Linked DNA regions of Astyanax mexicanus. The protein of the gene in region 1 purifies or fractionates together with the protein of each later gene. This does not show direct contact. Links are inferred from orthologs where the notes say so. Each region holds a gene or a part of one and is shown on either strand. Other genes may lie near its edges. The genes, in order: pam16 and dnajc19.

The links.
Region 2: the proteins of pam16 (region 1) and dnajc19 purify together in Homo sapiens (affinity purification with mass spectrometry; 3 studies listed by BioGRID and IntAct, with this or other methods). This does not show direct contact. The link is inferred for Astyanax mexicanus from reciprocal best matches to the Homo sapiens genes PAM16 and DNAJC19.

The regions. Positions count from the first base shown.
Region 1 is NC_064426.1:40,094,878-40,111,113, reverse strand, and holds pam16 (mitochondrial import inner membrane translocase subunit tim16), read left to right. Parts: upstream 1-9,169; 5' UTR 9,170-9,312; coding exon 9,313-9,315; intron 9,316-10,842; coding exon 10,843-10,927; intron 10,928-11,608; coding exon 11,609-11,745; intron 11,746-11,843; coding exon 11,844-11,909; intron 11,910-13,209; coding exon 13,210-13,296; 3' UTR 13,297-13,396; downstream 13,397-16,236. Other genes in the region: coro7 (coronin-7), read left to right, coding at 414-505, 596-682, 2,405-2,413. UniProt on the Homo sapiens protein: Regulates ATP-dependent protein translocation into the mitochondrial matrix. Inhibits DNAJC19 stimulation of HSPA9/Mortalin ATPase activity.
Region 2 is NC_064423.1:26,560,231-26,575,673, reverse strand, and holds dnajc19 (mitochondrial import inner membrane translocase subunit TIM14), read right to left. Parts: upstream 6,548-15,443; 5' UTR 6,404-6,547; coding exon 6,401-6,403; intron 3,543-6,400; coding exon 3,491-3,542; intron 3,359-3,490; coding exon 3,285-3,358; intron 2,664-3,284; coding exon 2,584-2,663; intron 2,503-2,583; coding exon 2,432-2,502; intron 1,854-2,431; coding exon 1,783-1,853; 3' UTR 1,712-1,782; downstream 1-1,711. Other genes in the region: fxr1 (fragile X mental retardation syndrome-related protein 1), read left to right, coding at 362-447, 558-722. UniProt on the Homo sapiens protein: Mitochondrial co-chaperone which forms a complex with prohibitins to regulate cardiolipin remodeling.

The DNA.
Region 1 (16,236 bases):
AGCTAGTTAGCTACTAAGAAACTAATAGCGATCTTTTTTATGCTTGTTGTGAAGAATTTGTCCATAAAACGTTAAAACTACACATTAAATTATGGTAATATAGTGCTAATAGTCACTTTTAACAAAGAAAAATACTTAGGTTACATTTGTGGTTTTCTTTGGCCAAAAGTGATTCTCATACTCCTCTGTTTGAAGTGTGCATCTAAAAAAATCTCCATTGAAAGGGATAACAAGTCCTATCTTTTTCCCTAACCTACCCCTCCAACCTAACAAGTATAAGGACACCCCAACTCTTGGCGTGTACCAGCCAAACAGATGGGTAGGGGTAAGTTGTAGAGCCAAGGGGTGAAATGAGATTGGGCCTTAATGTCTGCTGCGTTTTCTCTGTTCCTAATGTTTTGCTCATTGTTCAGTGAGCGAAGCTCCTAAAGAGGCTCCTGTGAGGAAGTACCTCCCCTCGTCTGTTTACCTGGAGGAGAAGAGCGACGAGCAGAAGAAAGAGGAGGTGTGTTTAACAGCTGAGAGATGTTCTGTCTGTTTGGACCGGACTCTGTTCTGGTTCTTCTCAAACCTGTTCTTGTTGTATCTGCTGTAGCTTCTGAGTGCTATGGTGGCTAAGCTGGGGAACCGTGAGGACCCGCTGCCGCAGGAGCTGTACGAGGGCGTGGACGACGAGGAGTGGGTGAGTTTGGTTTGAAACAGTGGCAGATCTGGGATTTTTCCAGAGTAAGGAGCCGTAATATTCATAGAGGGGCCAAGTATTATTTCACCAGTCACACCATGTTCATACACTTTAATAGTATTTTATTTATAATATTACACAGTAAAATCTATGGAGTTATTTTTGTGGCAAAAGTAAAAAAATAAATAAATCTGCAATCAGAAACTTTAAAAATCAAAAAGTGTATGTTGCAAATTTAAAACAGAAAACAGTTTGCAGTTATTTGTAAATTAGTCATGCATGGATTTTGCCAGTCTTTGATTTTTTGTGGATTTTGTTGCAAAAGGCTTTTGCTTCTGTGATATTTTTTTTTTCTTTTTTCTTTTTTTTGCTTGACGATTTTATGTTTTTGTGCAAAAAACGTTTCACACAAAATTAACTCCATAAAAATCTCATTACCATTTTGTTTTAATGCATTTTTACTGTACATGAGTGACAAGACAAGGGCACTTCAGGGGCTATTGAGATTTAAGCTGTGCAATGCCCTGTGAGTCTGTTACACTTATTCTGCTGTGGGGCGAACCTGAAATCAGTTACATTTTCTGATAGTACTATAAGGCTTAAGGCAAAAACTAAAAACTGGGTGTAAAACTTCATTATTGTAGTTTGTTTAGTGTAGTAAATTTACAGTATGCTTAGATTTCCACTAAGGCTGGGTGCAGCGGAATTAGCATTAATGGCTAACCGCTAGCACTAGTAAATGCCGCCCGACAGCGCTACACTGAGGAACCCTGTGTTCCGGTAAAGTCAGGGCGCTAGCAGCTAGCGGTTCATCCCACGTAGCTTGTTTTAACATGGTAAACCAGAGACTGTAAAAAAAGATGGACGCTGTGTCGCCGTTCCCATTCTTTCAATGAAAATGAAGCCAAAATCTTCCGCCATGTTGCCGATTCTGATACCGGAGTCTGCGCAGTAGAGACCAGAGGAGGGAGAAATACTGTGGAGAGCTCCTACTCATTTAAATAATCCGGCCCCTGAGAGCTGCCTCGAGGTCACAGGCTGCGGAGCAGGGCTGACGGCCTGTTATTGGTCCCGCCCCTAACCAGCCCTTTTACAATAACCACACCTTTTTTGAATAGAGCTGAATAACGTTTTTAAAAACATTTACAATAATATTTACAATATAAGGTTACACTAGCTGTTGCATTTAAATAATGGAGGTAGCATTACAGTATATTGGAAAAAAACGTGATTGAAAGTTGTTCTGTTTTGCCATTGAAACCTATGAGGATGGGTGGGGTTACACAGCTTTCTGCAACCGAACAGCAGGGGGCGCCCGACCTGTGGTGGCTTCACTTTTGAGAGACGATGCTCTGTCCAGCTATACACAGTCAACTCTGAATGAAGAAAGAGCTAGCGTTTACCATGGTTAAGCAGCTAATGCTGCTCCAGTCTTGGTGCTGGAGAAACTTTACTAAAACTGCTGTATAACTCTGTACTTTAGTGGAGTGGCTTTACTGCTCCTTAATACCTGACTGGTAAAATTTATACATAAGGAGCACCGGATTATAAGGTGCACTGAAGATTTTTTAGAAAAAATTAAAAGGATTTTAAGTGCACTTTATAGTGTGACAAATACAGTATAGAAAACCAACATTTCTACTTTAGTAAAGTATTTGTACTCAGTAATACTGAGTTCTGATAGATTACGAATCTTACTAATTCATATGTGTGTGTTTTCAGGATGACTAGAGGAACTCCTCACCTTTTGGATGAGTAAAAGAGGAGTAAATGATGAGTAAAGGTGCCAGTAGATACAGGGGAGTGCTGCTGTTCTCTGTGCCATGCCTGAGTGCCAATCTGAACCCAACCTCCAGGACCTCCACCTCTTCACCACCTACCAGTGTTCCAGTCCCACCACCACCCGGCTCCTCCATCCGTCACATTAACATTAACCCTTCCTGCATCAGATTTACTCTCCTGTAATCAGACGGGTGTTTAATAGACGAGCACTCTGATCCTAAACCTCACACAACTCTTATTAATTTCAGATTTTATACTGTAAATCTGATCTGCTGTAGTATAGATTAATACACCTCTTTTCTATACTTAATCATTAGGGGTGGGAATCACAAGGCATCTCACGATACAGTATCACAATAATTATATCGTGATACTGTGATTCTGCAATACTCAAAATATATCAAGACAATTTTGTATGATACTTCACAACGCCTCAGTTACTGAAGAGGATTAAATACTCCTAAATAAATCAAAAATACCAGTAATTATGGATTTAATTAAAAACTTTTTAAGTATGCCTAATTAGGGGGGTGTTAGGGAGTTTAAAGCTCCTATGTTTCAATAAACATATATTAATATTTGATGACACACATCGATAATGTAACGTAAATGAAAACCATACAATATATCGAAATATCAATATATTATCCCACCCCTACTGAGTCGTGCACTGCCCCCTGCTGTCTGGTCTAATTCAGAAAGGATCCTAATATGCTGCAGGTCTTTATTCTAATCAATAAGTCAGTGATTAATCAATTCCATCTGATCATAGCAGATCAATCAATCACATTCTGATTGGCTGGAATTAAACCCTTCCCAGATTAGATCAGACACTCCTGGTTTTTGGTGCACAACAGCTATTTTTTCTTACTATCAGTGTAAATACAAATCAGTCTTCCTACTGTTTTTAACTGGAGCTCATTAAGATCGATGTTCACTACAGTTCAAAAGTTTGGAATCAATGTTTAGAGGCATTTAAATGTGTTTTAGTCATATAAAAACATAAATTATTCATAAATAAAACCATTCTAATTGGCTGTTTCAAAGAAAAAAAAAATTGTATAAGACTTTTTATTTAAGAAAATTGGAAAAAATTGAATAAAATCATTTTGATGTTCTAAAGTGACTAAATCTAAAATAAATACCTACAACATAAAATAAAGAATGAAGATATAATAAAATAAATGTTTGAAAATGCATTTTGAAAGTTAAACAGAGCTGTGGAATATCCAATATGTTAATTCAAAAATAAAGGTCTATAAACATCAAATAATAAGGCTATATTAAAATAATGAAAATCATTTTAAATAAATCCAGAAAATTAAACAGACCTGTAGAATATTCTACACTCACTAAATTAAAACTATATGTAGAACAATAAAATAAATACACTAAAACAGACCTGTGGAATATTAAACATATTCTTAATTTAAAAAAGGCAATAAAATGAAATAATACTACTAAAATAAATAATCAGTATGCATTATTTTAATAGTGGTGAACAAATTACAATTCAGATGACGTGACAACTGACATAAATGTTATAATATCTACAATGGCTTTTATAATTTGTAGAATATAAACTGAATATAAAAAAAGAATTCAAATTAATGTAAAATGACTCCACTTTTTTGAGCTGTAGTTAGTGTCTGGTGTTTGATGGGATGTAGAACTGGAATCTCTGTACTTCTAACAGATACAATATCTAGAACCTTCTGTAAAGGGTTCTATTAAATAAAAGGGTTCTCTCTCTCAGTAATCAGTTTTAACAGTATTGTATGTGATCAGTGCAGCTGCCAATCATCTTGCCAATGATGTTTATCACCTAATGCTGTTACTGTTATTACTAATAATAATACAGGAGGATACTGATCATTTAGTTAATAGCACTTCTTAGTGTTTTACACTTCATGTTATTAATAAATAGGGAATTATTACTGGAAGTCTTGTTCTGAATGTGATGAGCATCAGTGTTTTGTATCTTGTCTCTGATTGATCTTTGGGATGTCTCAGTTTTTTGATTGATGGTGATTTTTATACTGTGGAGATAAGTGATAACTGCATTACTGTACCCTCTCCTCTGTACTGTGGGAATGTTGCCTTGCAATAAAACAAAAATTACTAAACAAATTACGTCTGGAGTGTTTAATGTATTTGTTTAAATAATATATATATATATATATATATATATATATTAATCATATATCATTTTGTTTGTTAAAATGACTTTAACTGCTTGTTTAATTACAGTTTATTATAAAAGTCATTTCTATTTTTCTATTCTATATGGTTCACTCAGTGTCTTTTTCTATTTCTTTATTTAATGTATTTTCTACATTGTAGATTAATAATATTAAAGACGTGAAAACAGTTAAGGTACACATATAGAATTACGTAGCAAACAGTAAAAAATAAAATAAAATAAAAGTGTTATTCCTCCACATTAATCCCCTGATCTAAATCTGATGAACTGAGATGGTGATTTGAGGTGATTTAATTGTGATGAGCTGGAGCTTCACAGCGTGAAGGAAAAGCAGCAGCTATTGTTCAGCACCTCCAGGAACTCCTTCCTTCAAGACGCTGAGAAAACTATTCCAGGTGACTCTCCCTCATGAAGATACTGAGATTAAAATCTCACCAAGATTCTGCAGATCTGTCCTCAAAGATACATGTGATACTTATTTAAAATAATCTAAAGTATAAAACTATAATAATCTGGGTTTTTTTAACACTTTTTCTTTCCAGAATAATTCTGAATGTTTTTCTTGTATAGCTTTAATATAGTCTTCAATATTAAATTTACAATGTAAAACTAAATCATAAAAAGATACAAAACACATTGAATAAAATAAATTATACTGTATTTTTCTTCTGGCAATGTTTATGCATTAAAACATTATTAATCTGAAATTTGTAATATTTTTTACATAAATTAATTATATAACCAATTTTGGACCATATTTTTTGCTATAATTCACTTTTTATAGTCCTTATTATATTATATAATATTAGCTTTCTTTAGCTATATTTGATTTTTTTTTAAATGTTCAAAAAGTAGATCACTTTTTAATATTTTTATATTAATTAATTATTATATGGATTAAATCTTATAAATAACCCTCACTCTTTTCTTTCTTTCTCTCTCTCTCTTTCTCTCTCTCGAATATTTCCATCTTCATATTCTGGTTTGTTTTACACTTTTTGTTTATTAAATAATTCTGCATTTGTTCCTGTATAGATTTAATATAGTCTTTAAATAAATTTACAATGAACTCTGGGTTCAGTTCACTTACTTTGACTCGGGGGACTCTGAAGGCCACAGGCTCTGGCTCACATCTCTCACATCACACTCCACCTTCAGCAAGAGGCTCAGACCCTGATCACGACTTAATTATCTTGTTCCCACGCCTTAAAAAAGAATGGAAACATATATGATTAACAACCAGTGTTGGGCACGTTACTTTGAAAACGTAATTAGTTACTAGTTACTTCTTCAAAAAAGTTACTAACTGAGTTACTCCACTATAAAAGTAACTATTGCATTACTTTTGTGTTCCTCGTCCCCGTAAGCCCCTTGTAGTTAAATATAATTGAGTTTATTTTACCCCCGTTTATTTCAACGCCATTATTCCCATCACTGTTATCAACAAATATGAACACTGTAGTTTACTGTATTGTAGTGCCAGTATCTCACACTGTAGTGCAGTCTGTTTTAACTGTGGTATAGGGGTGTGTCATTATATTGTACAAATCAAACTTTTTTTTTTACCATTTAAACTCTTCAGGTCCAGTGAGCCTGAAATGGTAAAAAAATCCATTGAACTTAAATTGTATAAAAGCAGCTTCCATGTGACTCCAAAATGAATGGGTTCATATGGAACAATTGAGCAAAATCAGACTTTATAAATGTTTGATTATTTTTGGTTAGTGTCCCGTTTATCAGTTAAATTTTCAGACCATTTAAGGCTAAACTTAAAAATAGAAAATTAGATGTAAAACTTCATTATTCATTTTTTTTTCCATTTGGTGTTGCATGTTTTTTTCCCTGTTTTCATTGCTGCCCCAAACAAAATAAATACATTTAATTAAAACAAAGAAAAAAAGAACTCTTATTTTCAATTTTTTAAGTTGGTTGGATTAAATTATTAGATATTTTTTCGTAAAATTCTGATTGTGAGGGGAAGAAGAGAAGTTTAGAACATTAAAAAATTTAAAATTAATGTTTCATTCACTAAAAAATGAGGTTTTCCACTGAAAATTCTATTTTCAAGTTTGAACTATCAAAAAAATACTTAACTGAAACAGTACAGTTTCCATATTTATTTTGAAAATGTTAAAATTTACTAAACACACAAAATAATATCAAATGTGTCAGAACTGCAGGCAATGTTTTTAACTTTTAAAAAAAAAGTGCAGCTATAAGCCTTGTAATAAACCCAGCGCTCTGGCTTTAACTCCACTAATCAGCCAATCAGATCACAGTAGCATTACTGCTAGCGCATTTACTGCCTAAATCGTGTTTACTGTAGAGAAATTAAAACATACAGGTGAGGTTTCTTTAAGTTTTTAGTTAAATATTATAATCTATTTTCTAATATTAAAGTAATATCATGAATATGTAGTCAGACACTATTTTTAATGTGTATTTTTAGCCGTTTAGCCCCATTTACACCCATTCATTTTGGACTCACTCGCGGGCTCCCTCTAGCGGTTAGCAGTAATTTACTTATATAAAGGGGGAAATAAAAAGTGGATAGTCTCTATATAAACAGCTCTGGTTGAGCACTGGGTGTAAATCAACCCACAGAAACTGGAATAAATGCGCAGTGCTTTAATAAATTGTATGGTTCTGTAAATAAATGTATACAGAACTAGCTTAGTGGAATATATAAAATAAAGGTTACAGCACAGTCAGCAGTGTTGTGCCAGTTCACACTTAAAACAAACTAGTCAGTTTAGTTCCTATTATTTAAAATTGACTAGTTCACTTTAATTTGGTTCGTTTCCCTCTTAATATATAGATACGTAGGCTATTATTTTCCATCACCAGCCCAAATAACAGTAGTATAAAAAATTATACAAAATAAATATATTTCCATAAAACCACACTAATTTATATACTAAAAATTGCTCATTTACTCAATACAGATCAATATAAAATGTTTCTTTACTGCAGACATATTATTTAACCTTTCAAACTCCAGTTATAAAGCTTTTTAAAAAAAAACATGCTATGGGTGAAACTACGCTATTAGCTCACCAACCAATCAGATCACAGTAGCAGTAATGCTAGCGCCTTTACTACATAAAATCAGTTTACTATAGAAAAACTCTATCATATATAGGTACGTTATGATAGTTTTTAGCAACATACTTTATTCTACTTTCTAAAATGAAAGGAAAATCCTGCAGATTTAGTTAAACACTATTTTAAAGTGTGTTTTTAGCCGTTTAGCTCCATTGACTCCTATTCATTGAGGACTCACTCGGGAGCTCCCTCTAGCGGTTAGCCGTCAGCAATACGCTACCAAACATACACAAATTAACAGTTGTCACCCTCAGGTGGACAAACAAAGAACTAAGACCCACTTATATAAATGTTTAGCCTTCAAACATCATTTAAACATTTCTCAAACATTTCTCAAACATTAAACATCAAGAAAATGATAAATATTACTTACGTATGACCGCACGCACTCCAAATCAAATGAGCGGCTAAAAAGCTAGGTAATAACCCGAGCACTAGAGAATCTGTCTGGCTAGAGGTACAGGTGATTGCACCTACAGAGCTAATTAATTCTCTACCTTCTGATTGGGTGAGAGTTATTGAGCAAGATGATAGGTAGAATCGTTAAGGGGGCATGGTGTGAATTATACAATGAGAAATAATTGTGGGTGTTTATACAATGTTAAACGCATACAAAGCTTTTAGTTTATTCTTCACAACTTTTCCTTCCACCTTAAATCTCATTGATCTGTAGTAGATGTTCTATGAATTTTAAACATTTTTGCTTATGTTGTGCCGATATGATAAACGACCCACCTAACTTTTCTGGATTTGAATTGTTGTGTTCCACCTTAAAAGCCTAAAAACGCATCTAAACCCTGAAGTGTGTCGGCACACAGGTGCAACGGTAAATCAGCAGCATTTAAGGTGGAATCTTTAAATAGGAAGCAGAATTTATGGCGCAATGTTAAATTAGCAGCATTTAAGGCGGGATAGCAAACTGACAGCATTAAACAGGGAATGGTAAATTGCCAGCATTTAAGGTGGCATGGTAAATTAGTAGCATTTTAGGCGGAAAAGCAAACTGGCAGCATTTAAGGCGGAATGGCAGATTAGCAGCATTTGAGGTGGAATGGTAAATGAGCAGCATTTAAGGTGGAGTGGTAAATTAGGATTTGAGCAGCCTTTAAGACGGATGGGCAACTTGGCAACCTTTAAGGGGGCATGGTAAATTAGCAGCTTTTTAGTTGCAATGGTAAATTGGATGCATTTAAGGTGGAGTTGTAAATTAGCAGCATTTAGGGTGGAATGGAAAAAACAGCAGCATTTAGGTAAATGGCAACATTTAAGGTGGAATTGTAAAAAAAATCAGCATTTAAGGTGGATTAGCAGCATTTAAGGTGGAATGGTAAATTAGCAATTTAGTGGTGTAAAAAGCTGCAGTGTGCGGTACTGAACAGTAGGGGGGTGTAGTGCTGTAAAGCGCTGAGGGGTAAACTTGGCTCTTCTTCTGTGGTTGGTGTGTTTCTTCACCTTGATGGAAGCGCGTGTGATGATAATAATAATATAACTGAGAATCTGATCATATTTCTAATTTTCAGGAGAAGCGCGAGGCTCAGATATGGTGAGTATTAACGATATTACATCATAATTACACACTGCTTCAGTTTAATCAGGATATAAATACACAGAAACGGGTTAATCTGCTGTCCTGCAGTCATTTTCTGCTGAACTACAGGATTATATCAGACCTTTAATCATCATTACACTGATTATTTACTCATTTATCTGATCAATATTGCTGTTTTAGTGTAGAAATATACTTTAAGACACTATAGTATTAATTTTAACAGCCTGAATGTGTCATATATATTAGAAAACTCCTGGTTTAATGTAGGAAAATGTACTACAATAGGTGAAGTCTGATTTTCTAGATAAGCACACGTTTCTAGAAGTAAATAAAATATATAAATATATAGTTACAAATCTTATATAAAGAGTTATTTCAGCAAAAGGTTATGGATACACTGCCTGTTGTTTGAGAGACTGTTTTACCATAGTTTTAAGAAGGTTTTAGTTTTTAGTTCTGATGAACATGTTCTTAAAATCAAATATCATTAAAATGTTGAACTAGTAATTATAATGATAGTCCCCAAAGACACAGTATGTGTTCAGGCTCGTCCACACATATCTAGATATGTTTAAAATCAATATAAACACAGGTGTCACAGGTGATTACAGCAGCTCACCTTAACTGTTTGAACTGTTTGAGCTAAAGCTGAAATAGAGGAAAGTCCTGCACTTAATATTATTATTATTAGAGTTGAAGTGTAATTTTAACTCTTTCAGATTTAAATATAGTTCAGTGTTGGAGTTATTTGACATTTTTGAGGTACATATATCAGTGTTAACCCAAATAAACCCAATAAATACTGCTCAACCTCACAGAGATTTAATTTAATTCATTTTTTTATAATGGGTAAGTTTTTTTTACAACATTATATATCATGTTATATACAGCTCTGGAAAAAATAAGAGAGCACTTCAGTTTCTGAATCAGTTGAATTCTGAATCTCTGATTTTGCTATTTATAGGTATATGTTTGAGAGACATTGTTGTTTTATTCTATAAACTACAGACAACAAGAGCATTTATTTGCAGAAAATGAGAAATGGCTGTTCATATTCATATGTTTTAAGAGTTCAGAAATCAATATTTGGTGCAATAACCCTGTTTTTTTAACCACAGTTTTCATGCATCTTGGCATCATGTTCTTCTCCTCCACCAGTCTTACACACTGCTTTTGGATAACTTTATGCTGCTTTACTCCTGGTGCAAAAATTCAAGCAGTTCAGTTTGGTTTGATGGCTTGTGATCATCCATCTTGCTTTTGGTTTTTAATTTGGAAAATCAAAGAAACGTATCAGTTTTAAGTGGTCTGTTAATTGTTTTATCCAGAGCTGTATAAAGCAATGGCTTCTGAGTTTAAGTGTGATTTACTACAGCAATAATAAATGAGTAAATGTGTGTGTGATGGCTTACAGTTAAAACCTTTTGACTGTTGGAGTATTTAAATATTTGTTTGTATTTGATTTTGCAGCTAAAAGCAATATTTTACCTGTGTTTTTGTGACTGATTGTTTTGTATGCAGGCAAAGTACCTGGCCCAGATTATAGTGGTGGGTGCGCAGGTGGTGGGCCGGGCATTTGCGAGAGCTTTACGTCAGGAATTTGCAGGTGAGCTCCAAACTGCTTGGCAATAAAATTTAACCCCGACTATTTTTTCTGCGTCAAACAGCTGCAGTCTCTTACTGAAGGCAAAATACTTTATTTATTTTATTTGGGTGGCATTTCCCCTTTCTAATTAATGAAAAGATGTTGAAAATATCAAGAACATCAATGTATTACTTTGTTTGGACTATTTTATTTTATGTTGACTTTACCAAGTAAACTTTTGATCAAAATATGGTCAAATATGTATGTTCTGTTTTTAAGCATTTGAAAAAGGGCTGGTATATTTTATTATTACCATTATTATTATTATTATTATTATTATTAAGACTTCTGAATGCAATTGGTTGCCCTGGATATTAATTGAATACTTTTGCACGTCACATTTTTCAGATTTTTATTTCATAAAAAGGTAAACCGTGTATAATTTTTGTTTCATTTCACACATATGTGCCTCTTTGTGTTTGTCTACCACTTAAAATCTCAATAAAATACATTTAAGTTTGTGGTTGTAAGGTGACAAAATGTGAAAAAGTTCAAGAGGTATGAATACTTTTACAAACCACTGCATAAACAAGCAAGGTATACATGTTTTTATGTAAATAAGGTGTATGAATCTAGCCTATCAGGATTCTTTAACTACTAAATCATATATAAACATTATTAAACATGTGCACTGTGTCACAGCGAGTCAGGCTGCAGCAGAAGCCCGAGGGAAGGCGGGGGCGCAGTCGGCCGCAGCGTCCAGCTTCACCGGGATGACCGTCCAGGAAGCCCAGCAGATCCTGAACATCTCCACGCTGACCCCGGAGGAGATCCAGAAGGTAAAAACACTGTAAACACACTGATACACACATGTGCTCTTCATACACACATTTTTATTAGTGTACTAAAGTCAGATCATCTTTCATATTCTCTACAGAATTACGAGCACTTATTTAAAGTGAACGACAAAGAAGTGGGAGGCTCGTTCTATCTGCAGTCCAAGGTGAGCATCATCATCATCATTATTATCATTATGATTATGAGATACACAGATCAGCATAACATTATGACCATTTGAACATTTGGAACGTTTAACTACAGATTCAGAGCTTCTGTCTCTGACTTTACTTTATCTACAAGATGGAGCAGCTGTAGTAGGTAGGAGTGTGTAATAGAAAGGAGGACAGTGAGTGATTAAACACAGTGTTTAAAAACTCCAGCAGCACTGCTGTACCAGAGCAACACACACTTACACCTCATACACCACTATCAGCAATTGCATTCCTTTAGTAACCATAGTAGAAAAAGGTTGAATCTGATTACCCCTTTAAAAAGTTACTTTATGTAGTTACTTTATTGATTACTTGACTTTTAAAAAAGTAATTAAGTTTGATTACAAGTTACTTTATTAGATACATTCATTACATTCCCTCAGTTCTGCCAAAACTCACTTGCTCTGTAAGTTTTTCTGTGCTGTGCTGCAACTTTTTGAAGATAGATCACCAGCACAGAGTGAACAACCTTCATATTGTCATTTTTATGTATAGATAAAATACATTAAAAAAAAAAAAATCTAATTTTACTGTCTGTATGTGTAATTGTACTGTCGTTTAGTGGTTTTACACGTGAGTTTATCTCATGCTGAAAACATGACTTACAGTAATTGTTGCATAGGAAAGATGTTGCTCCTTGAGATAGAAGAAAGCAAAAATATATCTTTTTACCAAGATAAATAACAAAAATAGTAATGCACAGTGACTTGGATAAGTGATAAATGTGTTACTTTATTGGAAATAGTAACTCGTTAGATTACTCGTTACTGAAAATTTGGGCTTTCCTGTCCTTTATGATCAATCTCTGCTGATTTACAGCGACTCTGATCAGCGTAATACAGCGTGGAGAAAGGTTGCTGACATTGTTGGGTTCTCTGGTGGCTTCTGAAAATGTATATATTTATATAATTAATACAATTTAATTGGAAAAGTTTTTTTTTTTTAGCCTACATGGTGCACACTAGACAGTGTTATGAAGCTCAATTAAACATTTAAATGTATAAATATACATTTATACTTATTAGTTTATAGGAAATAAAGCTGTCACAAAGTGTCCTGGTCAAAAGGACAAAAAGGAGCTGGTCATAATGTTATGTTTGATCAGTATATTGTGGTTATATACCCTTATTTACCCACACTGACTTCAGAAGGTAATCCCTGTATAATCAGTAAAACCAGTGTTTATTAGAGTGTATTTTCTGTAGTATTTTGGTGTCCAATCACTGAGCGTGTCTGATCTGGGTTTTTCAGGTTGTGAGGGCAAAGGAGCGATTGGACGAAGAGCTTCAAATTCAGAAGAACGATCCACCACAGCAAAAACAGCAGGAACACACCTGAGTCTCACCTCTCGCCTCTTATTTTCTGTTTTTTCCCCCAAATGTAAATATTCTGCTGGTTTCAATAAAGTCTAATCTGTTTATTCATGGTGTAAAACAAATTTACCTTCACTGAGTGATTTATTACAATAATATTTTTTGCTTTATTACAGCCTCCGTTCTTTATAACATAAATTTAAGAGGAAAGCTCCTGTAGATTCTGTTGGGAATTATAAATATTCTAGGTTTTAATAAAATAAACATTGTTGTTTTATTCTATAAACTACAGACAACATTTCTCCCAAATTACAAATAAAAATACTGATTTAGAGCATTTATTTACAGAAAATGAGAAATGGCTGAAATAACAAAAATAGATGCAGAGCTTTCAGACCTCAAATAATGCAAAGAAAACAAGTTCATATTCATAAATTTTAAGAGTTTAGAAATCAATATTTGGTGGAATAACCCTGGTTTTAATCACAGTTTTCATGCATCTTGGCATCATGTTCTCCTCCACCAGTCTTACACACTGCTTTTGGATAACTTTATATCTTTACTCCTGGTGCAAAAATTCAAGCAGATCAGCTTGGTTTGATGGCTTGTGGATGAATCCTTTAAGGTGCTTAAGGGAATCTTTAAGACAAGATTTTTTGCTAACATTTTACAATAACAGTACATTAATTAACATTACTTACGACTTGAGAATATCTCAACTAATTTGCAAAAGTTAAAACATTATAAATCACTATGTACTTTTTTAAAAAAATGCCTCAGTTAATTGTTAGTTTACAGGGTTTTCAACATTCTTAAAGGCGACATTATTAAACCTTTTTTTGTGTAAGTTAGAATACTGTAGGTCTATGATTTAATTGAATTTCTTCTCACAAAATCACTCTCACATAAAGATAAAGATCTTACCAGCTTTATTCTTACCAGTTTTAGTGCCTTTCAGAATGAGCTGTTTAAGGGCTCTGTCACTTTTATGTAAATAAGCATGTATATGCTGAGAGTTTACCACAAGTTAAAAAAGCTAATTCATGCTTAACTGCACTGATAGAAGCACAAAACTCATTATTTAAAAGTACTCACATCTCCCTCATCTGCTGACTTGACACAGACAGTAGGAGTAGGTATAGATTCCTCCCTCAGACAAAGTCTGCTGGCCTTCACAATAAGGAGAGCATCAGCTGACTCACAGGAAATGCATGGATGGATTTTTTTTTTGCACTTGATTTGCATGTTTATAGAGGCAGTATCCTGAAGAAAATAAGACTCAGAGAAATTAAATGAATAATATATCAAATACAGCTTTATTAAACATTTGCTTCTTTCGTTTTCATTGACATCATTATCAATATCGTAATAAAATTCCTCTAAAACAGGAGCACACGCCTATGTTGTACCAGTTGGAGACTTTTACGACTCTAAAATTCTGCATGTTCGGCTTCAGAACATAACGCTCGGAAAAAATATATATATTTATTTTTCATATACTGTATTTGTATTTCTACATTTCACCTACAATAAAAAGGCACTTGGCAAAAAGGAAATACTGATAAAATATTTCAATGTGCAACAAGAAAAAAACTGATACCGGCCTTTCCTGGCCAAAGTCATACATTAACCCTTTGTGCACCGCTGCGGCACATTCAGCTTCCCGTTCCCGTTTGGTTTTGTTCGGATTTTTCTGAAGCGAGAATGAAGAGCGTCGTCACGTCAGAGCGCAGACTGTACCGTAGATTCGCTGCCTCTCAGTGACGCTGTGTTTTACTGCATTTTTATCATTTACTGCATAACCGTGACACTCCGTCACGCTGAGATCAGTTATTGCTAATCTATAATAATAACAATCATCTTCATCTTCGCTCTGTCCGAGCTCCTAATGTCCCTCAGTGCTCAAAGGGTTAACCGTGTGGACCCTGCCGGGTCGGTGTCATATTCAGCTTCCTCAGATTCACCGTCTGAGTGACCCGAAGAAATCGAGGGTGGAGCAGAGAAACAAGGTCTTAGGAGGTCTGAGGACATCCAGAAGGTTTAGGGAGGTCTGAGGAGGTTTAGAGAGATTGTGGGATGTCTGTCTTGTGAGGTTTAAGGTGGTCTGAGGAGGTTTGCGCTTTTTAAAGGAGATTTTAGTAGGTCTGAAGAGGTTTCTAGAAGTTTTGAGGAAGTTTTAAGGTGGTTTGAGGAGGTCTAATGAAGGTTGAGAATCCTAAATGGGTTCTGATGAGGATAGGGACGTCTAAATGGGGTCTACAAGGGTTTGCGGAGATCTGAGGAGGTTTGAGTTTATCTGAGGAGGTCTAAAGGGCTTTGGGTAGGTTTGGATGCGTTATACGTGATCTGAGGAGGTTTGGAGAGATTTGGGAGGTCTAAATGGGGTCTGAGAGGATTTGAGGAGGTTTGAGTTAGTTTGAGGAAGTCTTAGGAGGTTTGAGTTGGTTTGGAGAGATTTGGGAGGTCTAAATGGGATCTGAGAGGGTTTGAGGAGGTCTAAGTTAGTTTGAGGAGGTTTGGATGGGTTTAGGGAGATTTGGTAAGTCTAAATGGGGTCTGAGAGGGTGTGAGGAGGTCTGAGAGGGTTTGAGGAGGTTTGGTTGGTTTAGGTAGATTTTGGAGGTCTAAATGGGAATCTGAAAGGGTTTGAGGAGGTCTGAGTTGGTTTGGGGAGATTTAAGAGGTCTAAATGGGGTTTGAGAGGGTTTTAGCAGGACTAAGTTGGTTTGTGGAGGCCTGAGTTGGTTTGGGGAGATTTAGGAGGTTTAAATTGTGTCTAAGAAGGTTTAAGGAGGTATGAGTTGGTTTGGTGGAGATTTAGGAGGTTTAAATGGTGTCTAAGAAGGTTTAAGGAGGTCTGAGTTGGTTTGGTGGAGATTTAGGAGTTTAAATGGTGTCTAAGAAGGTTTAAGGAGGTCTGAGTTGGTTTGGTGGAGATTTAGGAGGTTTAAATGGTGTCTAAGAA
Region 2 (15,443 bases), on another chromosome or scaffold:
AATGCACTAATTCCAGTTAAACAGTTTAACAGCTTATAAGAGAGAAGTTGTCACTCTTTATTGAGAGCTTGAGTGGCATCCACAACATTACATGGATTAAAATGTAACTGTTTAAACTGTCTTTTGTGTTCTTAATGACATTCTTATGGTGTGTCCTATTTGTGGATTAATCTACTAACAATACTTGCTATGTTATGGGTTGAAATATTAGACAGGTGTGAAGAGTACCTGCCTTGTGCACCATTAATGTCAACTGAATAGGTTGAGCTAATTTCTGACCTTTTCATTACAGCATGCTTTCCGTAATTGTTTGTTCTTAGTGTTCTGTAGACGTTGATCATTATTCATTTATTTTTTGTAGTTACTGTGGCTGATTACATATCACGAGCTGAATCGGAAAGCAGGCAGAGAACACCGAGAGATCTGAAGAAGAATAAGAAAGATATGGTAAGTCACCATAGCCAAATATTAGTTTTTTCACTCACCTCACTTGCTTTCACAGTGAAAGGATTTCCTCCAGCCTCACATGAGAACTCTCCTTTTTTCCTCATCCACAGGGGCAGGTGGAGAGCATAGCAGAGCACAGTGTCTCTAATGCGGTGAGCAACGGCCCCAGCGCCAATGGAGACGAGCAGAAAAAAGCAGCACGAGCTTCCACAGAGAAAAACACCCCCAATACCTCCGGTGAGGGGGAAAAGCCTGCTGTTAATGGACTCTCCTAAGCAGTTTGCTCTATTCTTTTTCTTGTTTTACTTTTTTCAGAAAAAGTCATAACCTTTACATTTTTACAATAGTGCTTGTACAAGCTTGCCAAAGATAGACATACGGACTTCCAGATTTTCTACTGCACTTTTCCGTTCCTTCACCATGGAACAGGTAGGAGGGGAGGAAAGATAAAAAAAAAAAAAAAAAAAAACACAAAGACAAAAAAGACGAGCCCTGAAGAGACGAAACCTGAAACTTGATTCACATCTAAGTAAGTTTAAAACATGATCAGATGTTGTGCCTTCAGAGAGTAGATTCACCCGTAAAGTGGCCGGCTGTAGGGAAAATAAGGTAATAAAATGGGAAGATCCCAGATATCTGAATTTTGAAGAGAAGAGAGTTAGCTGCATTTTGTTTTAATATGCAACCACTTCATACATCAAGGAGGGGAAGGAAATTTAGTAAACCCAGTCTGGAAAAGAGGATGTTATTGCACTGAACTGTAATTCCTTTCCCTTAAGAATAATGTTCTAACTGGTCTGTTTGTTCATTTTAAATGGTGTATGGAAAAACACTCCATGTGACTATCGGAAAGATCAAATTTGTTCTGATTCATCACCTGTCAGGCTGTAACAATGATGACAGTGACTGTTTAGCAAACAGAGCCTTGTTTTGGTTTATTTATTTTTAAATGTACAGTATTTAAAAGAAGAAAAACAAAAACAAAAGCAGTTATTCTTTTAACACTAAACTGGCTGCCTGAACGTATTTGCACGCAGGTGACAATTTGGACTACTGAAAGAACGACTTCCAGATTTTCTGTTCTGTAAACTACGTTTGAGTCCTTATTTCTTTCTTTTATTTCTTTTTTAATGATCATTCTGGTTGTTTGATGTGCAATATGTTTTGTATGCAGTTAGTTCTTGAATAAAAGTTTGATCTTCCAGTCATTTCTTCTTAGTCATTTGTGATCTGTGAGAGTTTTAAAATGAAATGAAACGTGTGGTACAATAAATGATTTTAATGGTCAGAGAACTCAAGTGTATCAGACAGGGCTCGATCAGTGAATGTGTGAAACTATTTCTTGGCTTGTCCATCAAGTAGATCTTTAGCTTCATTTATTTTTGCTGCAAGATATGGAGATCCACCTGCCAAAAAACAGAAAGAAAGATTCCTCAGTTGACTGTGTACGGTCTGCACAAAACAAGCCACAGTGATAATTGCAGTTAATTTAAAGTTTTGTTAAATTCACAATTCCATTACAAAACAATGGAAAAAATGTTTTGTAACATCAAGGGCACATATCGAATGGATATGTTTTCAAGGAGGTTGAAATTTTCCTCAATTTTCCCTCAATTCAGCTGACAAAGAGTTCCCACCAACTAGTTTGGACACCCCATCACATGATCCCACCATACTTGGAGGGTGAAGGCTAATGCACCCCTCCTCCAAGACTTGTGAGGCACGACTTTGCTGCTTATGACAACAGTTTAAGCCCCAGTCATTCAATCTAAAGTTATAAGGAGTGTTTAAGTCAAGACTGCTTTGAAATAAGACACCAATAGGGCAACCAATCAGAATGGAGTTCATTTACATAGCAGTTCTAAAGTCATATTAACAGAAATTGTGCCTAAAATAACAGCTACAGCTTAGCTAATAGATGACCTACAAATTTGCTGACATTATCATATGTGTCTGGTCTTACTGAACATTTAGAAATTCTTACCTCGGTCTGGATGATTTAAAATCATTAGCTTTCTGTGAGCTTCTCTAATCTTGTTTTTGTTGGCAGTGGGGCTGGGGTAGACAAAAATAAACAAATTCAGTATTGACAATTTTGGCGCAAACTACACAGAAATCACATCATCTGATTCATACCTGACTCCGAGAATTAGAGATGCTTCTCTCTTCGTCATCTTTGGTTCAAACCCTCCTCTGTAGTAGCCGCTTCCAAACGCCTGAAACAGAAGTTCAATCATCACTCACTGATTTAAAGACTCACTGAGTCTAGACTTGTTTTATATGAATCCTCTTCTTAACGAAACTGAATGTCACTATAATTATTTTAGTTTATCTCTATTGTTTTTATAAAAATCAGGAATGATTTATGATCTTATTATTATTTTTTATTATTTAAATAGTTTAAAATTTATAAATTATAAAAATATAAATAATTTATCAACATGACAATTAAACAAAATTCACTGTCAAAACATTTACTTGAGATCGTGAATTTCCATTACCATGACATAATGAACATTGTTTTCTTGAGATTTAGTATTTTATAATGCACATCATGTTTTTTATTAACATTTTTCTTAAGCTCTTAGGAACAGATTCCCAAGAACAATACCATTTTAGTGAAATGTACAATATTAAGAAAACAGCATTCTAATATGCTGTAATAATTGATCTCAAGAAAACATTAAAAAATGTCCAAATCCAATATTCTTTAGGGCTTCCAAAAAAAATCACTTTTTGAATTTGGGTTTTACATTTCCATTTCAGAATCGGATAACATCTGTAAAATCCGTTTCTTAGCTCTCTTCAACACCTGATCCAGGAACAGAGTGACTTACAGTTTTGGGAAAAGCCTGAAGAGCTTGTTTAACTTGGGGCTCCATCTGCTTCATGGCTCGCACTGCGTAGCGGCCTGTGGAAAAGAGTCGCAAGAAATGCAGATGCACTTTGCATTAATGGTGACAAAAATATCCTGAGTCCTTATTTTGTAATGAGGTGAAGGTTTCAGCAGGTTTAGCTTTAATACTCTTAAATTCTCCCAAACCTGCAAATCCTGCTGCTGCCAAAGCAATGCCCACGGCCACCATGGTGCTGGCCTGCAAAAGAAGAGAGACAAACAATACGGCTTGATTACACCGTCTCATTAATGAAGGAGCAATTTGCATAATTTCCCCAAACACATATGACAGTTCTCATCACAGCAATGAGAAAATTCAGCTCATCTCATTTAAAACCCATCTACCTGAATCTGGACCGTAGCAGTGTTTTAATCACATACAGAGAACTTTGTATCCAGTTCGTTGCCAGGTATAAAAAGGTTTAGTAGAGCCTTCACCCATAGGATTTTCAGAAACATATGGATAATTCACCATTTGAGTTACACGCAACACAAATATAATTACTTTATATGGATAGTTTTATATGTAATGTTTTAATGGTATAATGGTGGAATTCTAAAACAATTTATTGTTTTTTTTTATAGGAGTATTATAGTGTATTCAAAAAGTATGTCTAGAACAGAACCAAAGCCCACTTTGAATAACTGTGTATGTTTCTAAATCATAAGAATCAATTATAATTCAAACTATGACATTTTAATATTAATTAGTAAGTAATTGATGGCTAAATACAACATATCACCACGTTTAACTTGCAGAAACTCCTCTGATATAGAATCTTCCTTAGATAATGACAGGGAAAAAATATATATATTTTTCAAACGTTTCACTGCATAACAGTATCAGCGCATGTTTCAATTATTACAAAATGTTTTATTATTTTTATTTTTGTTCTCTTTTTTCTTATAAAATCACACCAAACATATGATTAAAGTATATATAAAGTATATGTTAACCAGACAAATTAACACAATTGTATAACCAAAATAAAGCTTTTTTATATACAAAAAACACCAAAAAAACCACCAAAAAAATTACATTAATAGAGTATCGGCTAAAACTTAAAATCTGTATTATTGGTGACACATATAGTGGTATTATCTGTTAATATGACATATTGCTGTGAGATAAATTTGATTGCATTAAGCCTGTTGGAGGATCTGCTTCGACACTCCACCTCATCCCAAAGCTATTTGACTGAGCTCTATAACTTCAGAGAACACATTGTTACTGTTGATCAGCCCAATTTACTCAATACAAGGGACATATAATTAAGGTGGAGTGACAGAACTAATCCTCCACCCTGAATCTGACCGCATTTAAAAACTATGATCAGAATGTACCTCTGATAATGATGATAATACAATTCAACATCATGGTGTTTTCCAAGTGTACCACAGCATTACAGTATCAGCCCAAATCTGAATTTGCATTAATAATGTGAGAGATCTAACACAGACAGAGTAGTGAGATCTCTGCTAATAATGGTGTTATTCCGTTTTCTCCTTATAAAAATCACACATTTTTAAATCTAAAGCACCTAGATAAAGTTATTCACGTAAGTTAATTTGCCTAATTCACTAAATGGTATCTGATAAAACTAAGCGTAAGTATAAAGGGTAGTATTATTGTTGTGCGACACTGATACAGATTATAGATCAGTTTGACAAACTGCTGTAAGTAGAATTTGACTGCATTAAGCCCCACAAGAGCATCAGGGATACTGATGTTAGAAGATCTGTTCTGACACTGCACCTCATCATAAAGCTACTTACGCTCTGTCATTCAGACATTTCAATCTATTACTCACTACAAAAGGTGTCTGGACACCTTTGGACATACAGTTTTGGGAAAATATGAGACCACTTTAAAATGACCAAATTAAAAACCTCTGGAATATAATCAATAGGAAGATGGATGATCACAAACCATCAAACCAAACTGAACTGCTTGAATTTTTGCACCAGGAGTGCAGGCATAAAGTTATCCAAAAGCAGTGTGTAAGACTGGTGCAGGTGAACATACCAAAATGCATGAAAACTGTGACTTAAAACCAGGGTTATTCCACAAAATATTGATTTCTGAACTGTACAATGTACAATATGAACTTGTTTTCTTTGTATTATTTAAAGTATAAAAGCTCTGCGTCTTTTTTTTCTTATTTTATTTATGTTATCATTTTCTGCAAATGAATTCTCTAAATGACAATATTTTTATTTGGAGTTTGGAAAAAAATGTCTGTAGTTTATGGAATAAAACAATGTTGATTTTACTCAAACATCTACCTATAAATAGCAAAATCAGAGAAACTGATTCAGAAACTAAACTGGTCTCTTAATTTTTTTTTCCCAGAGCTGTATAACTGAGTTATGGTGGCAGAAGTAATCCTTTACTAGAACCTGTCCTGAAACATGCTTTCTCTTCAGTGTAGCTGAAGGCAAATTAAATCCTCCTCACAGTTCATAGATGGTCCAACATCCAGTCTGAAAAATGCCTTTACGGAAGAGTAATGGTCACAACTGCAGCAGCGAATGGGAGATAAATCCTATTATTTCTGTTGATTTTAGACTTTTGGTAGGATTTGACCTTGGAGATTATAATGGAAAACCTGGTAAACTTGTACAGCAGCTTTAACGTTTTAACGTGCAGCACAAAACACTTTAAACTTAATGACAACCTTTTTATAAAATGACAATAAACGTTTATAAAAACATGTATATTAGGTTTATAAAGGAGAATAGTTATATACTGAGAAATTGACTCGTTATTTCATAAAATTTAACAGAATTAAACGATTCATTGGCGCTGTATAATAGTTTTATACTATATAATGACCTTAAAATGACAAAAGGAGCTACAAAAACAAGGTTAGCGCCGTTTTTTGGAAATTTTCTTTCCACCTTAAAAAGTGCAGCAGATACAGTCAGGTGCCAGAGCGCCAGAGTGCAGCTGCTGGTCCATTTAAGGTGGAAATGGAAAGATCTCCTTCCACGGGCTAAGCTAAAGCTAACAGCTCACGTGTGCAATAACAATAATGCACAAAGAAGGCTGCCTACCATTTTCCCAACTTAGTTGGTCTCCTCCCCGCGGCGTGGAGCATTAATATTAGCTTTAATTATCAGATAGATTCCATAATCCGATAATAATGGCGCGATTTCAGACTTTTTGCACTGGTGTTTTGTGCCTGCCGCAAAATGCACCGCGCTGTCGTGAAAGGGGAGGCTAATCCGTGACGTCAGACGCTCCGTTTAAGCTGAGTGTTTGTAAAACAATATTAGTCGTTAAAATCCAGATTTACACTTTAAAACGCGATTTTTCTTGGCTAAAATTAAGAGCCGACATATAAAGCTACCAAACCAAGCTACACACAATGTATTGAAGACGAGGAATGGAAAATATGTAAGTATTACCTCTGCCAATTTTAGTTAATTATGTTAACGTTAATTATTTTACTAGCAAAGGCCACAGAAACCACACATTTCCTCTTGTTTTTAAAATATATCAGAGAAATGTTATAAGTAAACACTTATAAAAAAACTCTACAGTCTGTATATTAAAGGTTAAAAAGAGTTTGTTATACATTCCCTGCCACAAACTGACACAAACACAAAGTTATTTAAACATTGTATAGTAAATATTTATATTATGTTTGGGCAGTGACTTATATATTTAACTGAACTTTAACTAAAGGGCGGGTTTAGGCAACTCTAGAAAACAGTACGTTATTTTATAACTTTGAAGGGGAATAATGAGGAATTGTGTGTGTGCTATGTGCGTTTTATGTTTCCAAGATATTATTAACAAGCTATTTAAGTGGTGCTGGTGCTGTGTATATGGACTAGCGTAGTTAGATAGATAATTACAGGGACATTCTGCAGCTTTTCAAAAATATTTTCTGTATAATTCTATGTTAAAGAAGTAAACAAAGACATTCAGAGTGGGTTTGGTGTGAAATTCTGTGTTTCTGAGAAACATGAATGGGATGCCTAAGGAGTTGAATGCCTCTAAAAGTTCTCTCACAGAAAAAAGTTATTATTCTAAATGTTTTTTAGAAAGAAAAAAAAATATATATTATATTATATTATATTATATTATATTATATATACATAAATATTATATAGATATAAAACTATATCTCTCTCTCTCTCTCTCTCTCTCTCTCTCTCTCTCTCTATATATATATATATATATATATATATATATATATATATATAAAAAAGAGACCACTTTAGTTTTTAAATCAGTTTCTTTGATTTTGCTATTTATAGATATATGTTTGAGTAAAATAAACATTGTTGTTTTATTCTATAAACTGCGGAATACATTTCCTCCAAATTCCAACAAAAATGGTAATTTAGAGCATTTATTTGCAGAAAATGAGAAATGGCTGAAATAACAAAAAAGATGCAGAGCTTTTAGACCTCAAATAATGCAAAGAAAACAAGTTCATATTAATTAAGTTTTAAGAGTTCAGGAATCAATATTTGGTGGAGGAACCCTGATTTTAAATCACAGTTTTCATGCATCTTGACATGTTCTCCTCCACCAGTTTTAAACACTGCTTTTGTATAACTTTGTCACTCCTGGTGCAAGCAGCTCAGCTTGGTTTGATAGCTTGTGATCATCCATCTTCCTCTTGATTATATTCCAGAGGTTTTCAATAGGGTAAAACAAAGAAAAAACATCATCATTAAGAGGTCTTCTATTTGTTTCAAAGCTGTATATATATAGTTTATATGTATATATAGGTTAGTACAATGAACATGTTTAGCTCTTCTATTACTGTATGTTAATGATAAAATGTAAATGTTTTCAAAAAATGCAGTTCTAAAAAAGCAGTAATAAACCATAATTTAATTTGTGCTTAATAATTTAATGGTTATATTACGTTTGTTCATATGTATATTTTGGCATGCGAGAAAAGGAATGGTGGTTCTTTTGAGAAAGCATGTTATTGTACTTACTGCATGCTTACAGCACTTGTTGGCTTCATTCAAGTGCTCTGTGCTCTCTTAACACAGGAGAAGCCCAGGGAGGTGACTGAAATGGCTACTAACACAGTTCATGGTAGGTTAGACCACCAATTCACACACTACCCGAACCTGAATTATTGTATATTTTGTGTAGATCCAAACTACTCTGAATTACTTTGTTTACACCCCAGCCATTGAATTATGCTTTGTAAAATTTTAGAATACTGTTGGAATTCCCCGTTGTAATTCTTACCTGCTTTATTGAAGGGTGTCTACAGAGAGATAATATACTACTAGTTAATTTCTAACTAAGTATATAAGTTAGTAGTATTTATTTTCCAATGCATAAACCTATACAAACAACCTTACTTTGATTCAGAGCCAGTTTAGAGAACACAGGGTTCTTCCCATTGGACTGAATCTCACCCACTCACTGACTGGATGAAGGTCCTAATTACTGCCCCTTCGTTTGCATAATTACAATGTGTTTATCCTCCCCTATTTTTTTAGAAGGATAGAAATGATAAACTGTAGTAAAACTGGCTGCAGTCAGTGGAAGTCAGGTTTAATGATAAATGTGTCCTCTATAGAGGCAGGCAGGCAGGCTGGAGTTTGAAAAGGATTTAAAAAAAACGCCAACTGTGTGTGCAGAAATTAGAGTTTTTGCCCCTAAATCATATGGAATTACAGTGCTGGGTGCATGTGGTGAGCCTCAGCACAAAAAGCCCAGAGGAAGCAGCTATTTCTGTTGGTTTTATTAAACCAACCAAGCAATTTAATTCTTTTGTTCAGGAGAGTTCTACTTCATTGATTAACAAAAGCAGGGATATAATTTTTTCAGCCTTTTTGAAAAGCCTGAAATGTCAAGCCTTTTAAAGCAGATTATTCTGCCTGTGTGCGGTGAATGCAGCCGGAGTAACCTTTTGTCTACAATTAAATATTCCGGCATAAATATAAAAGAAAATCAGAGATGGGGAAGATTGACTCACGAGAGATTGGCGAGGTAGATCCTCGCACTGATAGTGCAAACAGCTTGCTTCTAATTAAATATGCCACAGAGTCTCTAAGCATTTGCTTTCTGCCGCAGAGAGAGGAAGCAGCCTAAGAATGAGAGGAAGAAATATATCACCCCATCTCTGTGGCCACCCCAGCCTTTCCTCTGGGCATCTAAAGGTATTTCGGGAGCTTTTTTTGATGCTTTGTTTTCTTCTGGCTGGATAATTGTTTGTTGATATTATTGTTATTTTTTTTATTATTTATAAAAGGCTATGCCTGGAGGGGGTATCTACATATGAATAGAGGGCAAAAAGGGAAAGTTGTGGTCTGTTTTAGATTCAGACTTAATAATTGAGCATTATGATGAGGCACTTTAGAGACAGATGTGTTTACCTCGTGCAGAGCCTTTTCACACTGGCTGACACTTCTCTCACACTGTGTTTGGCGGTTGTTTGCTGAGACCTGCTCTAGTTTTGGCTCTCTTGCGTCTGACGCTGAGTGCCGGAGCTGGTGGCTGTAGGTGGAATGTGACATTGTGCGGTGTCACAGCATACTAATCACAGCTGATTGGTTACAGTATTGTTGTTAAGTTATGGAATTCGTCATTTTCTCTAATGACGTGGGGTTAATGGGACATGTGTAGGTTGTACATGTTCACAGACTCACTGTAAAATGACCTTTTGGAGAGGGAAATTATCTTAAAGCTTCTCAGTGAGGTTTAGTCACAGTTACATCTTTGTCTGTAAGACTTTGATGAGTGTAGTCAGGTTGCTTGTAGATGTTTTTGCTTCTTTTAAACACATTTAATTCAACTAAAAAGTCAAGTTATATTATAGTTATATTATAGTAGAAATATTTACAAAAGGTAGAATAATCTTATAATATGCTCACAACATGCTCTGAATGAAAAATACTACATACATTTTTTTAGAGCGCAGTGTAGTTGTATTGTATTATTCTATCCACAAGTTGTATTGTATTATTCTGTCCACAAGTTTGTTTTAGCAATGTTTTTGGACTGTGAGAAAATACATTTACTTTATAGATTTTAACAGTTTTGCAAATCATAACTTTATAAATCAGTCCTTTATAAGTTTGAATGAGTAAAATACTTTTACACTACACTCTTATAAAATAATCATGCTAAAGCACATTTTTGGTTGCTTTACAGTCATTTCATTGGCTTATGAAGATCAAGTGATGTGAATAGGATGTGTGAAGTGTGAGGGAGTACTAGTTTACTAGTTATAAAAGAACTATAAATTCAGGCCAGACATTAAGTTTATTGAGTGTTATTATGTCTTAATGTGTTTTTAGCAGCTGTTTTATTTCTGTGTAAGGCTTAGCTTCTGTTTCTTTAAAGCTATGTTAATGTATGCATGAGCATTTGGTGGTTGTCACAGTAAAGTGCACATGTTGGGTTAACTGAGTAACAACTTGTGAAGCTGTACAATCTGACTTAGTTCTTCCTAACTTATTCTAGAGAAAGACAAAGTCATGAATCACCACATGTCTTGTTGTGTTTAAGATGTTGAAGGTTTGAATGTACATAAACTAAACCTCTAGTGTGAGTTAGTAACTGACTGCCTATTTATTACTTATTTACTTTGCTGTGTTTCTGTCAAAGTTCCTGATTAATAAACTGTTAGCAAGCCATGTAGCATCTTGCAGATGTTTTAAATTGAGCAGGGTGGAGATCTCACATCACATTTATATGTTTGCTAAAATATGTATTATTTAATATTTGGCAGAACTGAAACTTGACTAATATACACTGTGACCTGAGTTGGACACTTCTTTCAGAGACTTTTAAGCTATTCTTATATCTTTACACAACCAGTTCATTTACCATGTAAGTATAGAGCAATTTTAGATCAGTACCTTAAAATGAACAAATACATTTTTTTAAATATGTGAATATAGTGGTGTGCAAAGATTTTGGCTGTTCAAATGATTCCATGTATATAAGTATATATAATTTAATAATAATACAAATATAGCCTTTTAAATGTGCATGTTTTTTCCTTTTCTGCAGTGCAGTATTACATTTCTTACAGAAATAGAACATAAAACCATGAATCACTTAAATATGATTAATGACTTTGCAAAAAAACAGCAAGTCTCATTAGTCAAGAGAGGTTTAAAAAGGTGAAATTAGCGAAAATGTAAGTGCAGTAAAATGTGTAATACATGTACTGCTGTATGCACCTCCAGGTTTTGGTGGTTCCCTCTTAAAACAGCTAAAGCCATTGGCAAGCGGACATTGGCTGAATGTTGGGGCCCTCTCTCCCCCTGCGCTGCTCTTAAATCTGACATTATGCTGAATTTGGGTTTCAGGAAATAAGACTGCAAGGTTTGCAAAAAGGAAACAAGAATTATTTAATCAAATTGGCCCCTTCCACATCCAGATTTCTCTGCTGCGGCATAATGCACCTCGGTAATCCTTTTATCAAGCGCTCCGATGAAGTGGGCTTATTCCAACCACATTAGAAATATATAAATATATTTAAGGTCATTCTATCTCTAGTTTATTTCTAGCCAAAGTCTGCCACCTCATTTTTTTACCACAGGAGCCAATAATTACCTGTGCTTTGGCGCTGAGGTGTGTGTTGATAAATGGCACATGGTTAAAGCTGGCTTTAATCAGTATTTTCACAGGTTTCTCCTCATTTCTCTGAATCATGTGGGACATTTTGAGTGTTGTTGTGTTGATGTTGTGTTAACTGCTGGTAAGGTTCTGCATGCTCCTCTGAGTGGGATATTTTTACCCGTGTCATCTTGTAATTATCTCATCGTATGGCTGATGCCCTTTGCTTTAGTTTTTTATGGTGCAACATACACCGTGGGGTCGAGTGCGTCTCAGAAAACAGTGACTTATATTTAGCTCTTGTAAAAATAATTTACTGAGCAAAAGTTGAAAATAATTACCTAGACACTGTCTATGTTATGTCTAATTTGCTTTAAGGGTGATCAGGTGATGAATTATAACTAATAGGCTGATTGTATTGATGGGCGTTTATGCATTATGTGTTTGGCATTTTAATAAACAATTACAGTTTTTTTTTTTTATCTCAGTTTACATATGGGAAAAATCAAAAGTATGATTTGTGAAGATTGAATATGTTATCTGTTAGGTTTTATTTTCCCTAATATAATACATTTAGTAAATAAATAAAAAGTGTGTCTTAAAGGTGCTGGAAATGTTTGCTTCCTGTAGGGAATTTGCTTATTTATTTATATATAAAATCAACAGTACAATATTTTACAAAACAGCAAATTTCAAACATTTAATTGAGGTTTCTGAGTGTATATATATTTTTATATTAATGAATTATTTACGTTTATTACATTTATAACTGGACTGCTATTGTTTTAGCAATGGCCCAAAGAACTGATTTTATCTATTTCAAGCTTTTCTCAGCTATTACATTTAACAAGTTAAGTGTAGCTACTGTAAATTGCTTTAAGTCAGGACAGTAGAGTTATTAAAATGTCAGAGAAGTTCACAGAGAAGATCAGCACCCAAACCTGTGTTCTTCAAACTGTTAGCATTCTCCAAGGGGCAACCCAGCATTGCTAGTTACACTCCAGCACTTTATTTAACCAGTCCTTAATTAAATTCAATTTGATGAGCTGCTGGTGGAGCTGAACAAATTCATATAGTGCCTGGAGTTCACAGAGGAGATAAACACCCTAACCTGTGTTATTATAGCTGTGCTCAGTTAGCCAACATAGCAGTAACTTTACTGACCAACAGCACATTCTGCCTGAGAGGAACTCACACTAGGTACATTTACATGCAGCATGAAAATCTGTTAATAAACTGACTAATAGAATAAATTGAAACAGACTAGTCCAGTTCAGGCCATTCCTACGCTTTCTATATGATTGAACAAGGTGGCTAATCCTTTAAATAATCCATTAAATAGAATAATAATAGCCATGTAAACACCTGTATCTAATTAAGTTTAAGTATGTTCTTGAAATGTAAAGTTGCATAAAATCATCAATGACTGCTGCCACTATATATTCCATCAGTACAACTACGTACCACCAGTCTTTACTGCACACAATGGAAATTAGCTTATAAGCCTTGAAGTGTTGTTGGGCATGACCATTTTTACTTTGCCCCTTTTTAATAAGTGAATGTGACATTTTAAATCTGCATTTTCAGCACCAACTGAAAATACAGGCAATATGCTGAAAATGCTCCTCATTTTCTGACTTGACACAGGTAATGTTTTTGTCATAGTATCATGTACACTAATTCTGCATTCTCACTACTAGATAAAAAGTCTCTTGTGGGTATGTTTGAGGCCTCTTGTGTGTCACATGCAGGGATGCATTTACTGAGCTTTGGATTACTTTCCTCCACACAATTTTTCCTGTTTGTGTGCAAAAGAAGAAGAAACAGTGCTTATGAGCCTCACTTTCATAAGTATACTTTTCAAAATACTGATATTGGAATATTTTGTATAATTTTGGCACCAATTAAATTAAATCAGATTAATAGAGTAAACATGCGGTGAGCGATATTGATTGTCAAGTTCTGTGAATCTGACAGCAATATATCCATAATTTCTCTTTAGTAACACAGATGCCGTGAAGCATTGTAAAGAATTTTCCTGCATCTATCGAGTATCAAAGAATCACGTATTCTGCAGTATCTCTGATGTCAACATTATCGTGGGCAACATATTGGTATAATATTGCATTGTGAGATGCCCTGTGATTCCCACCCCTGTTTAGAACCACACAATTTAGAATAGGATTGAAATGTGTAGGAACCAAAAGCTCAGGAAGCAAAGGCTGAGGCCGAGTTTATGATTGGTCTAGAATGTCTCTTTATTGCATCATAATTCTTTAGCATAAAGTTTAAAAAAGTTCATGTTTGATTTTGCTGCCATGTTGCTTGTCAGTTGTAGATAAATCACAGATACAAAACACATACTTATATAGGAAATTACTTGTCACTCGTCACTTTGTCGTCTGATAGTGTAAATGCAAGTTAATTGTAGCGTGCGTGTACACAAAGGTGTTTGTGTTTGCTCTTCTCAACAGTTTGATTGAAAATCTTGATCTATAGAGTATTGATCTCTAATTGGAATTAATTGAATTGAATTGAATCATTTATTTGCTTGTAAACATGACCAGTGAGAGCAAGCTACTAGCTAGGCTAAAATACAGGTTGCAAACATGCTGAAATTAGTTTTACACATTGTTCCAACTTCAAATTAAACAACTCATTTTTGGGAAACAGGCTGGTGTTTGCTGTTCTACTTTTTGGTTTTAAATTAATGTAAAGTGTTTCACACAGCAGCCTCTTGTGAGTAATCAGATTCATTTAAAAATAAAGATTGAAGTCCTGTCATACTTGCAAAGGATAGAATTGAGCTTGTTTGTATGGATTAAGCAGAAAGTTTATAGACGTTTATAAAGTATAGCTTGCTCCTCAGACTGTTATAGTTAACCCCATCTATGAGGTAAGTTGTCGTGTTTTGTAGTTGCTCTACTTGTGTGGAGATGTCTGGGTTTCTTGATAAAAGTGTAAGAATCAAGAGTTCAGGGAGCATAGGCTGAGGCCGTGTCTATGATTGATTTGAAGAATTTGTTTGTTAATTTCTTTAGAATGTCTCTTCACTGTGTCAATTCATTAGCATAAAGTTGAGAAAAGCTCAACTCAATTTTGCTATGTTGCTTTTCAGTTGTAGATAAATCACAGCTTCAAAACACATACTTCCATATGAAATGACTGGTCACTCGTCGCTGTGTCGTCTGAGTGTGTAAATGCAGGTTCAATGATACTCTACAAATGCTCATCATGTTGGAGCAAGTTAATTGTAGCGTGCATGTAAACAAAGATTTTCCATCAAATTGTTGAGCAGAGCAAACAGAAGTCCTGAGTCTTAATCTATAATTGGAATTAATTCAATTGGGTTGGATCATACATTTGCATTTAAATGTATGCTAGCCAGGCTAAAATACAGCCTGCAAACATGGTGAAGGTAGTTTTATTTATTGTTCCAACTGCAAAGTAAACAACCCATTTTCGGGAGTATTTGCTGTTCTACTTTTTGGTGTAAGTGTTCCATTGTTATCAGATTGATTTAAAATAAGATTGGAAGTACTG